Oryzias latipes: one gene and its partner. The protein of the gene in region 1 purifies or fractionates together with the protein of each later gene. This does not show direct contact. Links are inferred from orthologs where the notes say so. Each region holds a gene or a part of one and is shown on either strand. Other genes may lie near its edges.

Evidence for each region.
Region 2: the proteins of eya4 (region 1) and dctpp1 purify together in Homo sapiens (affinity purification with mass spectrometry; 3 studies listed by BioGRID and IntAct, with this or other methods). This does not show direct contact. The link is inferred for Oryzias latipes from reciprocal best matches to the Homo sapiens genes EYA4 and DCTPP1.

Annotation. Positions count from the first base shown.
Region 1 is NC_019882.2:14,109,656-14,117,428, reverse strand, and holds part of eya4 (eyes absent homolog 4), read left to right. Parts: intron 1-585; coding exon 586-635; intron 636-2,187; coding exon 2,188-2,309; intron 2,310-6,880; coding exon 6,881-6,964; intron 6,965-7,508; coding exon 7,509-7,586; intron 7,587-7,773. UniProt on the Homo sapiens protein: Tyrosine phosphatase that specifically dephosphorylates 'Tyr-142' of histone H2AX (H2AXY142ph). 'Tyr-142' phosphorylation of histone H2AX plays a central role in DNA repair and acts as a mark that distinguishes between apoptotic and repair responses to genotoxic stress.
Region 2 is NC_019859.2:19,225,554-19,232,870, forward strand, and holds dctpp1 (dCTP pyrophosphatase 1), read left to right. Parts: upstream 1-3,962; 5' UTR 3,963-4,086; coding exon 4,087-4,584; 3' UTR 4,585-5,035; downstream 5,036-7,317. Other genes in the region: gatb (glutamyl-tRNA(Gln) amidotransferase subunit B, mitochondrial), read right to left, coding at 2,042-2,155, 2,230-2,383, 3,702-3,847. UniProt on the Homo sapiens protein: Hydrolyzes deoxynucleoside triphosphates (dNTPs) to the corresponding nucleoside monophosphates. Has a strong preference for dCTP and its analogs including 5-iodo-dCTP and 5-methyl-dCTP for which it may even have a higher efficiency.

The DNA of each region.
Region 1 (7,773 bases):
CACACAGCCACACATGAAACTAGGCCGCTTGTGGGGAAAGTACCCTGCGGTGAAAAGGAACCAAGGCTGTGTTTTCCCAATTTTTTGAATTTCTTTTTTGATTGACAGAACCAAATGTCCCCCGCAAAGTCAAGTTTAGTCCCTGCAGGGGTGTGTTTAAGGGTGAACGCCATGGCCCTGCCGGGACCTTTCAACTTGCACAGGGTTAATAACGAGAATCCAGTTCAGGATAAAACGGGGTCACGATGGAAAGTTAATATCTGTCACTTAGATGCCAGTTAGCACTTCTGTCGTGTTGTTACTACGGTGATGGTGCCTTGATTTATCTTTTCGTTTTTTATAATAATTTTGATGCATACTTTACCTTCTGGTGATGCCTATGATGCAAGCATCAAACCACTTAAGCCCTAAAATTACCTTAATTTAGCATCTTCTTTTTCATAGCTGTAAATAAATTTAGGCTTCAAATGGGTAAAAATGCTTTGTCGTGTTTATGGGAATCATGTATGACATGTTTTGCGATACTTCTGAACTGCATGGGAGCTTGTGTGTGAAGTAACCTACTTTCCTCTTGTTTCTCTGCAGGTGAAGAAATCCCACAGTGAATCTCATGTTCCAGACCCCTCAGACGTCAGGTACACTCACACGTTTGCCGTGAGAAAGAAGGAAAAAAAAAAAAAAACGTTGACTTTTCAAAAGTGTGTGTTCGTGCAGCTATATGCGTGTCTCAGCTTTTCGGTCATGGTGCAGAGAGGTGAGGTTTCACTGCATTTGGAGCTGCAATAAGGTCATCGGTATTATCCCAAGACTTCAGTATCTGCACACATTTGCACACATACTCAGAAAAAAAGGTGAATCCTTATCATTTTTACAACTATAATTATAAAACAATATTTTTATTCTTTCTTTGTACTGTAAACTAAGGATTAAATTTAACAGATTTAATCTGTGAAAAAAAGCCCAGAATGTGACACTTTTCAGCAAAACATAGCTTATTTTTCAGCTGCTGGAGATAATGTAGAAACCAGAAAAGAGTTTATGAAACACCAACTCCTGCCATCACCTCCCGAGAGGAGCTAAACAGAGTAGGAGGAAGTGAGGAGGGGAGCGAGAATCATTTCCTGCTGCTGAAGGACAAAAAGAAAAGGATAAATGAAGAGTTGGTGAGAACATGAAAGGGAAACAGGCTCATCTCTAAAAGTTCCTGATGCCTTTACCAGGTTTTGCCAAATTTAATCGCTCAAAATGTGTATTTCCCAGAATAAATTCAGGATTTTGACTGAGATGTGACGAAAAGCAAAGCTTAACTTTAAAAAGGAGCAATCTGCGCCCTTTTTTTCCCTTTACAGTCTCATTGTGGCTTGGATTCATGTGTGGTGATGCCATCTGCCCCCCAGCGTGGAGATGTGCCGCTTCCACACAGATGTGCACTCCCTTCCACAGCAGCCCGCATTTGTTTAATTCTTCCTCCATCTCTGTCATTTCTGGCTTTGATATTTCGCATAAAAGCACTTGTGTGACCAAACCTGCAGGCGGCATGAGTCAGGACACACACGTTATGTTCACAACAAGGGCTGACTCAACATTAAAGTATGTCTTCTACTTAAGAACATGTTAATGTTGGGGTTTGTGGCAGGAGTGATTTATAAACTCTGGTTTTCCTGCTATGCACTTTTTGAAAACACTCTGAATGAGGGTCTTTGGCAGCGTGTGGAGATTTTTCTATTTAAACACCTTTTTTAATAAATAAATCTGCAGTAAAGATGTCTTTTTAGGTCCTCTTCCGTCTCCAATTATCACGCTAACACGCATTTTCCCTTCACCATCCGTGCCTTATGTGCCGAATTGTCCCATCATGCTTCTGGAACACGTTGTAAAACGGGGGGAGGGGGGGGGACGCTGGCAGGCTTTAGGTTTGTGTTGGACAGCGTAAGCACGCACGCTATCACTCCATAAAGAAACCAGCAGGTCCACAGACAATCCATAGCGCCTCTGAACACATGCTCATGTCAGCAAACTGCCGCGGAATATGAGGACGTTTATGACCATCCATCCCTGTGCATGTGCTGCTTGTGCTCAGTGGGATACCCACACTAAACGGGAGAGTGATCACCGCTGAGGAAGAGCTGTTCTTTCAGAAACCACGCCTCATCTCACCCCCTTCCCTTCCGTCCTCGCCATTGTCAGGTCTATGGAAATGCAGGACCTAGCCAGTCCTCATAACCGAGTTGGAGGTGGTGATTCAACAGGCTCCAAACTGGACAAGAGCAACCTGGAAAGCCCTTCCATCACCAGCAATGGAACAGGAGGTGAGAAGTATTATAAAAACATCAAGAATACTATGAAGAATTTCCTTAATCTTCATGATATATATGAAACATTTTATACTTTACCTAATCTTGAACCTTGACCTCGCTGCAAGTGAAAAAAGAGGAGAAAACTAAAGCTGGAATCATTTAAGTTCCCCTTTAATTTTGCTGAGATGGTCAAAACATTATGATTCCAGTGCCCACCATGACCTCAAGGCATTTTTTTTATTGATCGTCCTTTAAATTCTGTAAAGAGAAACCGAAAATACAACCTTTTTTAAACATGCTAATGCATTGTTGTTCATATTCGGAACCACTTTTAAATTCCCAGATTACCCAGCATTTTTTTGGACTTTACCTCTATGAGCACAAACAGGACAAAGTTATGCTCAGCCTCAAATGTACAAGATGTATATTTGAATAAACCCCTTTTTTAATTTAGACTAACCTTATTTATATTAATTATATTTGTAACCGTTGTTTGTTGGACCGGATGGAAAAGAAGAAGACAGAGAGAGAGAGAGATATTGGGGGGGGGGGGGGGGGGGGGGGATTATAGAAGCGGGGGGGGGGGGTTAAATCATAAAGCATCATAAAGCAACAAGTTACTGGAAGTTTCTAATAACTACTATCAGGTTTAGCTGTGTAGCAGATCTAAAATGGGCGGTTCTGTCCACACACACTCAAATGTTACAAAAATACCTGTTGGCTCCAAAAATCTTCACATACAAACATGTCAACATGTACACAATACAACTACCATTCACACATCCATACTTATGCATTCAGACTAACAAGTGTGAAACATTTCATTCAGTCACACAAACTATTTGTGCGAAGATAAGCTAACACCTGTGCTCGAGTGAGTGTTATGTTCTGCTGGGGTGAGTGATGAAATGTAAAAAAAAAGGAGCCCCCAATACCAGAGAGCAGGGGGGCACAGGTGAGCACAGCCCAACCAGAAGAGCAGCCCCCTGCCACACCCGGGGGACCAAACGTGTGGTCCCACCCCGGGAGAGCACCCCCAGCCCCAGACGAGCAGCCCACCACCACCCAGTAGTTCTGAGCACCCCCCTAACAAACCCAGGCACGAGCCAGGGTTCCCCAAAAGAGACCCGCCCCATGTTCCAGGCAGCCACCCACCCAGCCCACGGGAGGTCCAGGAGAGAGCAAAGCAGGGGCCACCCACTCTCGCCCAGGAGGAGGACGCCCAAGAGAAGTGGGGGTCCCCATGGAGTGTTGTAAACATGGCCTGACCAGGTTCACCCACTGTTGGAATTTTGGGCAAGAACCAGAACCCTGACCACAGGGACACGGACACCCCCTGGGTCAGATGTGTTGTGATCCCCGGCCTTGGTCTTATTACAATTTTAAACGAAGTACTCACAACTTTATATTGATGGAAATAATCCTCTATCTTAATGTATCTGCAGTTGGGCAGGATAATCAAGAGGCTTTAGGCCTGCAGAAATGAAGTAAAATTGATAGACAGACTATGGCTTATAAAACAAAAAAAGAAGAAGAAAAGACACTTCCGTGTAACCCTTGTGCTATCCTATGGGGTCAAGATGACCAGTGACATGTTATTCCTACCATGATAAAGGTGGATAAAGGTGGAGAGCATATAATCCATGGACACCCACCAGTGAAGATCACAAATCATTGAAGAAAAAAGGTTCAGCGCACTGTCTTGTGGGGTCTAGATGGCTCCATTCCCAATGTTAAAGTGCCTAGGATAGCACAAGGGTTAAATAGAATTGTCATTCAGTTTATTGTGTGTCAGAATGTTTGTATTTAAGCCCAAAACCTCTCAGGCAACTATTTTCTTTACAACAGCATTGAAGAATAACTGCTCTCTTATGTGTCAACGTCAGCTAGCCCTTTTGCTCTTTTCTGTCATTGCCCGGCTTGTTTTTCTTCCCTGTCCATACTTTGTCTGTTTCATTTTCCTTCTCCCCATCTTTTCTTCCCATCTGTCTCTTTCCATCCATCAATTCTTCATTCTTAATTGTCTCAGAGCCAATTTTGGCAGGGCACCAGGACGTAATAGCCCTGAATGTGGTGATTCTGTTCAGGGCAATTCTTTGATCTGCTGTTGCTTCAACGGGCAACGGAAAGCTTTTTAAGGCATAATGTGATGGAAAAAGTGAGCTGTGGCATTTTAGTCATCTTGATGTGTCAACAGTCAACCTTTGAGTGAAAAAAAACAACCAATTCCAACCCTGTTAGAGCCGTTAAATCCATTTTGATGAGCTCACAGTTAATGGTTTAAGCAGGCAAAGCCAGGCGTACACACAAAGCCAAAATAAACTACATACCCAACATTCCTGTTACCTTACATCAGCCAACACTCAGACCCACCATTTCCACAGAAACTGATTCATACTTATATTTTTCTCCTTTAGGAGAATGATGAAGATGTTCTGAGTTAAATGAGGTTTTGATACTGTGATGAAGTTTAATCAGATGCACAGAAACTATCTGGAAAGCTAATACAGAATATATCGAGGTTTTTTAACAAGTGGACTAATGCTTTGATCACTATCATTGTTAAGTTTTTTTTCATGGTATTTATTACACTAATTCATTAACTTTCAGTTGTAGTTTTACCAAGAGAAACTTAGGTTTTCACCTCCTGTTTCCAGTTACTCAAAAACATAGTTTTATTTAGCCTGAGGATTGGACAAAAAGTGAAAGGAAAAGGCAGCTAAACTGGTTCAAAACCAACATGACAGAATGTCAGATAAGCTCAAAATAATTTGTAACTGTGCCGTTAATTTCAAATTAAAAAATATTTTTCTATTGTAAGAAAATCTCCACAAAAGGGGTTCAGTTATGGAATAACTGCAGAGAAAACATCAAAAATTGATAATCCATAATAAATACAATGCAATTATAAAGGGTGATGTATTGTATACATATAAAGGAGTCAACAACATTTATTACTATTTTTTTTCTTTCCAAAATTAATTGTTTTCATACGTTAAACTTCATCCAAAGTCTTTTTTAAACTTTGCATACTGTCATCATTATATGTCTGTTTCTGGTGTTTATTTGTTTATTTTATCCGTTCAAAATAAAAATAAAATAAAAACTACATATTTGGGCCTCCAGGTGATATATAGGCACTGAGCAAACAAACAAAAGCAATTTGGGAGACAGTTCAGGAATTTACGATTTAAGAAGCTGTTTTTGGCAGAAATTTGAGCCTACACATTTAAAAATAGCCTATTTGAAATGTTTAAAATGTATTATTTTATTATATTGATTTAACGAAAGCAGAATATGTGATGATGTGGCCCCATCATATCAGCAAATTACAAACAAGTTATCTAATTCCCACAATGTTTGTTGCCAGATACTTATGATAATGTATTTATTGTAAGATCCTTTGACTTAAAAAACATTTGAATGAGCAAGAGTTACCATAAGTTTGATAGAATGTGTGGTTCAAGTGTAATAAACAGTCTATGAACAGTCCTTGTGAAAACTGTTGAGTGTAAGCAAAGAACATATCACAGGTTTTTCTCCACAGCAAATGTACTGAAATGATCTCAAATCCAACTAAATGATGGGATTTAGACACATTTGCTGTATATGAACACCTACCATTAATAATATATATTTTCTTTGCACAGATGGTCAAACAATTGTTTACATCTGAATTGAAATAGGCTAATTATTGTTTAAAAAATGCATCTTGCAGTTCAGCTAATGCAAGACATCTTAGCGCATTTTTCCAATAACAATTTTTAACTTTCCGTTAAACATTTTATTAATCCATTTGACTGGAGTGTAAGAACAGTCACTGCATGACTACTTCCTTATGTGTGACTTAAGTAATGCCAGGGGTCTGCAACTTTTAACGTGGAAAGAGCCATTTGGGTTAGTATGCTTTTGTGACCATTAGGCCACTAATTATTAAAATGTAGCTGTGAAATATTTACGATAATTTACTTACAACTGTATTTACTTTTGACAGCTACATACAAGTTCCTTTCAAAATAAAATTCACCCAAGATCCTCCTGCTGTAGCAGATTTTTTTAAAAATGCATGAAAGCCAAATGGTAAATGGCATTTTCTATCACAACAACTTCATCCTTTTTCTCTTCTTACTATCAGTTATAATTATGACAACTTTGAAGTAGATTTTCAATGAAAAAATGTTAAGATCATTGCTAATATATACTTTAGGGGCTTTACCTCTGAGCAGCAACACTGTTGTGCAGCAGAAGATCAGAAAATGTGCTTTAAGCTTATCTAATAATAAACCGCTCTGACAGTAGATTAAGCCTTTTACCATCGTGATGCAGTTATCTGGCGTGTTGAAAATCTAGAAAAAAAAAAAAAATTCAATAAATAGTATTTTTCTTAAAAGATAAGGAGACACAGTGGATGGTGTTGCATGTGGCTCTGGAGTCTCAGGTTGCAGACCCCTGAGTTATGTGAATGTTTTGTCTTTCAGAGTTGATATTACTATGTGGCAATTCAAGGGGTTCATCTGAGATTGCAGTGGCAGGTTCTTAGTTCAATGTTTCTTCACACCCCTCCCACCTTGCACCCTCCATAGGTGAAAACATGACTGTTCTAAACACGGCTGATTGGCTGTTAGGCTGCAGCAGTCCGTCCCCTGCCTCCAGTTCCAAGGACTATGGTACAGAGGTGCATGTGTGTGAATTCAGTGGGCACACAATGTTACATTAAACGGAAAGGCAATGGCTTTAAAGCAGACTTTTCTTTTTGTCTCCCCTTGCTGTGATTTGTTTTCATTTGCTGTGAGGTTTTCCCTCCTTTTCACATCCCATTGTGAATTTGCTACAGTGTGTGTGGTCTGCTTAAACACAGTATACACATGGTTCCCTGTCAACGTGTTAAAAATGATGAACTTGCAGCATGTTTAAGGGAGGTTTTCCAGAGGTTCACAATGCATGATTACTTTTTTAAAATCAGTCATCACACTTTATGGTTTTTATACTTTTCCTGAGAGTAAAAAAATCACAAGAAAAAGCCAAGGAGCCATAAAATCTGAAAGCCATGTGGAGTTTCATCAGATGGGAGGGCTGCACACATTTTCTTCACAGGCAGGGAGGTGCATGGTAGTTTTGTGCTTTTTGCCAGTGTTATTATTCCTTTTCTTTGGTGTGTGATCAATTTGTAGTGTCGTACTCAAACTGTTATGCTTTCCTGTCCTTTTTTAGTAAAAACAGAGCCTCTGAACAGCAGCGACACAGTCACAACGACGGGCGACACAGCACTAGACACATACGCAGGCTCAGGTATGGCCCATTGCATTTGTCTGCATCTCTTCCGATTGCTCCAAAGTCAAAATTTCCCATCATGCATCAGTAACTACACTGCTGAAAGCTTTAATCCACTCAAGTATTGCCTGTCCTTGAATTGCATCATCAAAGGCTGGACACAGGAAGACATTTTTAGACAGACGCATAACCCTTTGCGACTTTT
Region 2 (7,317 bases), on another chromosome or scaffold:
ATGTAAATCTAATCATCAGCCACAACTATTTTGGTCAAATTATGTAAAAAAAAAAAAAAAAAGCTAAAATAACATTATTTAGAATTACCCTCTTTAGTCTGTAGCCCAAAGCTACTCATTATAATCATTATTTTAAATCAAATAAGGGGCTTTAAAATGATCCCAAAAAAATGTCTATACTTTTTCAACAAAAGAAATCCCTGCAGAGCTGCCGTGACATTTAGCCTGCTCCTTTAATATCAGCACTAAAATCACCTGAAGGGTATTGAGATCCAGTCGTGCAGAAACTCCATTCAGAAGGGCTAATTAGGCATCACTCTGAAAAAAACAAACAAAACCACTAAAGGTTTTTAGGGGGTTGTCTTCCCTTTTACTACAAATATTCCACTTCCACACCAAGATCTCTGATAAAAATGGTGTTTATATTTTTCTCATGATGGAGAATACATATTAAGAAATTTAAGCTTAAATTGCATTTTTTAGTATTTCTTTACTCAAACTGTTGTGAATCGGAAGCAAACAAAAAAATAAATAAATAAAAGCAGTTGGATACAGCTTGTGTTTGTGACGTAGAAAAAATGCTGGGCGGGCCACGAGCTCCCTGCTCCGCTCCATTCCGATGCCTTATTTGTAGACAAAAGGGGGAGGGGGAGGGGATGGGGTTGGTTCCGCCCACAACTCAAAGGCAAATTTTTTAATGAACTTCAGAAAATATGTCCAAAAAAACGACACAGGTTGTCGAGTTGGACTAAAAACTTCATAATCATAATTAAAAGACCACTGGGAACGCTTTGAAACAGATCAAAAGATGATCAGAGAGAGACTTTAAACATTATTTTTAATGTCAAATTTCACTTGTGTAGTTTCAAGCTGATGTGGTTGCTTCACTAAAAGAGGATTGCAAACAGTAAAGCAGTCATATCACCGATATTACTATACAAATTACAGATATTACAATAGTATTACTATACATATTACTATAGTAATATCTGTGATATATATGATATTTAAAGGCAATCTGCCAAAACCTCTGTCCAAACAATGTTTTTTCATGTCACTTAGAAACTGAAGGTAAAAGATATTAAAAAATTTTTTTTAATATTTGGATTTAATGTGATTGTTTTCCAATATTGTGTCTTTCTAATTTATAAAGATATATACTTTTATGTAGAAACTCTTTAAGGCTAAAAACTACTTATATTTGTCACCAAAAGAAAGAGGATCAACATTCACCCTCTACTTATGCAAACAAGTCAGAAAAATGTTTCATCATATTTTCTACTTTTGGTTCACAGAAGCCTTTAGTTGGACAAAAAAAAAACGAGTGGCAGCAAATAAACAATGAGCCCTGCCACAACGATGTACGCATGCACATTATTGCTTTGAAGAAAAAGTGAGATTGTGGAAATACATGCTTGTTTATTGAAAATCTTTCTAAATGTATTGATATTTTTTCCATTTCTATAAACTCTTCATCTAAAAGCACAGCTTGCATTTCCAATTTACTTAAGCAAAAGGACAATTTCTTTATAGAAAAATCAAATTTTCTAATGCTTTTTCTCAGCAACTTTTTTAATCTGATTTTGTCTAATCCTGAGTTTTAAACCAAGTTCTTCATAACTGAACCCTTTACCTGATTATGTTACACTTTAGATCGTCATTTTACCTCCCAGGAGACTGTGGAAATGGAAATGCAGCTTGAATGAAGCCTCCTGGTTTTTTTATAAAGAGTTTTGCCAAATTAAAAAAAGAAAATTCCATTCTGTCATTTATAACAGGAACCAACAGTCACACAAACATCTGCAAGTAAATTTTTGTTGAGCCGCTGTGAGATTTGATCCATTACAGATTCAAAACTAAAAAAAAGTGACCTGCACATAAAGCAGATTTAGAATTTTATAGAATTGTCACTGTGAGATAAACCATATAAAAGTAAAAGCATCATAAAGTCAACACAGGTGGTGTCTCCACCCAGCAAACTGCCACCTGCTGAATCAAAAGGATGCTGTCCATCAGAGGACTGAGAGGGGGGGACACTCACCGGAAGGTCAGCATAGAAGTAGTGTTTCCTGTCAAAATACGACTTCTTATTTATGGTGCAGTTGAGAGCCAATCCGGTCATCACTGCAGCTTCAACACATCGCCTGTTCAGCATCTGGAGACGCAGAAATGCATCAATTTAGAAAAAAACCCCAGTAAGCCTGAGTTTTGTACTGGAGAATCACTCACAGGTAATGTGCCGGGTAAAGACGCATCAAAAAATGAAACCAGGGAGTTGGGAGGAGCTGAGAAGCGAACTGGAGAACCAGAGAACAGCTTGGTGTTGGAGTTAATCTGGGCGTGAACTTCCAGGCCGACCACTCCAACCAGCTGCTGGGAGGCACTGGAAGCAAAGAAGCCAGAACCATGAGACGGGGTTCTGAGGAGAAGGCTGTGCAGCTGGAAAACTTTAGAAAGCAACTTCTGTCAGACTGACAAAGAAAAATGTATTATTTCATTTATAAAGTCTAAAAACCACAGTTGTTTTCCTGAACTCAGTTATAAAAACACAAATGTGTGTTTATGCAAGTAAAACCTGAAGAAGTGAACAGAAGATTATTGGTTTGTGTGGAAACAGTTAACAATACAGAAATAACACTGCAGAATCGAACAAAAATATCAGCTCATTTTCAAAGTACTGACTTGGAGTCTGATGAATTTTTGTGCTGACATTAACATTAAAGCAAATGTTTCTGAGAGCAAATAAAAAGTTTAAAAACTTGACATTTTTTTTCTCTTTTGGTAAATTCTGTGAAGCAGAAAGATGACGAGTCATGATTATATTTTTACAGCACACAATCATCAGAGTTCATCAATAGGGTAGGAAATTAACAATTTCCATTTAGACATTCATTTGGAATTTGGAAAAAAGCATTAAAAATGTTTTTTTAATGAATGAAACTAAAACTAAACTAAAAGACCGAAGCGATAAATAATGCTGAACATCTCATGGGCTCTTGAAATAGTGTCAGCAGGAAAAAGGGGTAGAAATGTGTGCAAAAAGGCATTAATGATGGAGAATTTAAAAAATATATATATATTTATTTCAATTGAGTGTTGTCTTTTCCTTTTTAAAATTTTTTATAATAACTTCCAGAAATAAATTCACAAGTAACTAGTTATGATAGGACTTATTTTTGTTTGAAACTTGCCTAAAATGTTGTACAGTAGAAGTACAATGTTTACCATGTCAACAGAAATAAAACTAGGAAAATAAGACACATTTGTCCGTGCTTGAATAAAGTCTTTTAGCTTGTGATTCAAACAAACAGCAGTCTAAAAACCTTAAAAACTAACAGGTAACTTGTTTTTCCATTGAATTTTAAACATTTTGAAGACAAGTGAATAATAAGGAACTGAATGGCAGATCCTCATCCTGACACAACATATTTTTACACAAACATTTCTAGTTTAGTTTAATTTTGAAAAAAAGTGGGTTTATAGTTAGCAGTGCCTTTTAAATGGTCCGTAGAAACTACAACAACGGTCAACGACATTTACAGTAAAAGCCAAAATAATAGCATACCGACATTGTTTAGCTCCTATGCGGTGTCTAAATACAAGAGCACCTGAACGCAGCAGGGGTTATGTGCGCTGTGTTCAGGTTCACATCTCCTGAAACAGTTAGAAAATAAATACTTAACGTTAATGTCCGGCTTTACCTCTTTGTTCTCGGTTCAGGTTGTTTATCATAGTGTGGTCTTGAAGTACTGATTTTTCGGAATAAACACAAAGCTTTCGGATACCGTGTTGATATTTGTTTTATGTTAAGAAATATTTCATTTGCTGTTACACGAGAAGCAGCCATGTTTGCAGTGAAGTGTTAAAGGATGATGGAATTTGTAGTTCCATTAATTAGTCCGTGATATCTGCTTCAACGCCGCTGTTCGTCTAAGCAACTACAAGGTCCAGTTTCCGAAGGATTTCGACTTCCTGTTTTACTCGACGTCATTTCCGTTTTCTTAGCTGGCGGGACTTCTCCACATGTTGAAAGAGGGGCTGTGTCGGGTTAGAGATCTATAAGTTGTGTGAGAAAAATACAAGAAGATGATGGCAGCAAACGAAAAAGTGGAATCTCTGTTTCTAAATGGCGGTTGTGAAGAATCTGATCATGGCGCCGCCTCATCTCACTCGACAGCGCACAACTCGAAAACAGAGCAGCCGCAGAGGTTCACCTTCAGTCCAGAGCCCACCATGGAAGACATTCGGAGGATGCAGGCAGAGTTCACGGACGAGCGTGACTGGAACCAGTTCCACCAGCCCCGGAACCTGCTTCTCGCCATGGTGGGAGAGGTGGGGGAGGTATCGGAGCTATTTCAGTGGCGCGGGGAGGTGGCCGAGGGCCTGCCGGGCTGGACAGAGTCTGAGCGGGAGCAGCTGGCTCACGAGCTCAGTGACGTCATGATCTACCTGGTGGAGCTCGCCGAGAAGTGTCGCGTGGATCTCCCGCAAGCGGTGCTGCGCAAAATGGCCCTCAACAAACTCAAATATCCCGCAAGTAAAGTCCACGGGTCGGCCAAAAAGTACACGGAGTACAAGGACTGAGCTGGTTGGTGGAGGCCAGAGACTGTTGCTGCTAAACCTTTTTTTGTTCTCCGTCACAGTGATATTTCTTTCAATGCTGACGCCTTTTGTCTACTCAGTTTTACATCTGAGGTCAACCTAAAAAAAAGACCAACGGGATTTTATTTTGAAAATTATCTGTTTTTATTAGGAATTATTTTTCTTACAGAGTTGGTTATTTTTTATGTATTTGGAAGAGCCCATTTTCCCTTGAACATCTAACGTCTAAGGCTCTTTATAATGCAGAAGTGACAGTGGGGAGAAAAAATGGGGTGCCAAATCCGTTGTACTTGTCTTGTGAAAAGCACAGAACAACAATGAAAAGGCTTTTACCTTTTGTTTATTCCCCTAATTATCATTTTGAATTCCATGTCTTTTCTGTTCAAGTGTTACACAAAACTGCCTGAAGTAAAAAAGAATGGTTGAAGTTTGACTTGTGTGTTTCATTCTTTCAGTTATTTGATGGCAGGAGCAAAAAAATTCAAGCTCTCACAGAAATCTGATCTGAACTGAGATTACATTAAAAACTCCTTTAGTTTAGTTGTACTCTTAATTTTTGGGGAAACTTTAAATGGACTCTGTAACATGTGACACATTCACTTATCAACATACTAGTTAAAATAATTAGCCAAGATCAAATTACTTAAATACAGTACTAGTCTTGAATGTATTTGTTTGGTGAGAAGGGCCACAGAGAAATTGGTTTCCCCAAATCTGTTATTCTAACAAGACAAACCCCTCTAATATGAAACAATCATTTTCCTGTTTACTTGCATATCTATAATTTGAGAAAAAATTAAATGTTTCTATGCTTCTTAAAACGTGCTAAATGAAATACAGCTATGTGTGAACAGATGTTGAAGTAATGCTATAGTAAGAAAACATTTTTTTGAACTTTTCAGAGCACAAAGAGCCATGAGCCTGATGAAAGCAGTCAAAAGAGGAGACATTCTTTTTATTTATTATTTGTAGGTGATGCATGAACAAACTGCCTTCAAATTGAACAGGGTTATTTAGGTCAGAGGTCTGCAACCTTAAACACAAAGAAAAAAAAATCAATTTGGGCCAGATTCTTACTAACCAAAAACCTGGAAGGGCCACAAAGTCTAATTTCACTGCTTAGAAAAATACCCTGTGCCTGTCTCCTGCCCGGATAAAGTCCAGGGTTGTATCAAGAAGGGCATCTGGCATAAAAATGTCTGCCATACCACCTTCATAACTCAGTGGAGGCTGACTCGCTGTGGTGACCCCTCTGTGGACTCCATGTGCCTAAAGGTGAACAACAATATTTATGTTTTAGTGATCATTTAGAAATGTATCTCTTGAATATTTATAATCATCAAGTTTGTTATATGCAACTATTTCATTTTTTTTTTACTTTTGAAAGCAGTTTATACAAGTTCCTTTTGAAATACAACAAAAATACAACCCATGTCAAAGAAGAACCTCCTGTAGCAGATTCACTTGAAATAAAAATGTAAGAAACTTATTCTGATAATAACTAGCTGTGACAGTAGATTAAATTGTTTACCATGATTTTGATGTGTGGATTATGGAAGAGTGGTAAAACACACCAATCCATCCTAATGTAGTGTAATTTCAACAGTGATGGAAGAACAAACAAACATGAAATCTGAACATTAAAAACAAAAACTTAATTAAAAGTAAAGCAGCATGCCGCATTGTATGGCTTGCAAGTGCTATCCGCCCTGCACTCACACCCCACTCTCTTTCCATCCCTGCCCTCCCCCACCCCAAAGCACACCCTTTCTGTGAGCCCTTATTGGCTAAGCAGTGGCTTCATGCCACTTGTTACAACATGGACCAAAAAGGAGATGTGTGATGTAGGCCCTGTAAGGCTTAAACTAAAAAAACAAAACAAAACAGTGGCCTGTTGTTGGATAAGTTGCAGTTTCTGTGTGTAATATTTGGGTGACATCTGGCCTTGATAGGGTTTGCTTTAGGCCCACATCCGGCTACAGGAGCAGGCCACCTAAGTGCCGTCATGTGGGCCCAGTATGGGCCAGAACTGGAATATTCACTGGTCTTTTTTTGGCCCAGTTACGGTTGTGGGTAAGATGTGGCTGACATCTGGCCTTGCTGTGGTGTGCATTAGTCCCAGATTTAGCAGTCAAATGTTGGGTCAAATATGTGCAAGAACAAAAACAAATGGTGACCCTTTGATGGGCTACTTGTGATCTCTGTGGGTAATATTTGAACAGAATTTTTAGCAACATTTTTTTGTTTCCCACGCCCAATTTCCTAATACAGTTATATCATATGTTATTATCGTTTTGTTCAGCTTGAGCCAGGGAATCATGTTTTGGATTTTCATGACATTCCGATAAAAAAGAGTTTGCTAAGATCACAACAGTTGTGAACTCGCCACACGCATGCTGTTCGAAATCTACAAATTCTAATTCCAACATTTTTTCCACAGTAGTTTCTGAATGATGCTCAAGAAGTTAGGAGACAATCAATGAAAATCACCAGGACGAGTTTTCATTTATAGCTAAAGATTTTTTTTTAAGTTCCAGATGGCGGCCTCTTCCCCAGGTCAAAGGTCAAGACGTAACCCTTGTGCTATCCTAGGCACTTTAACATTAGGAGTTGGGTCATCTAGACCCACTAGACAGTGCTCTGAACAATTTTTCTTCAATCATTTGTGATCTTCACTGGTGTCCATGGATTACATGAAATCTTTTCACCTTTATC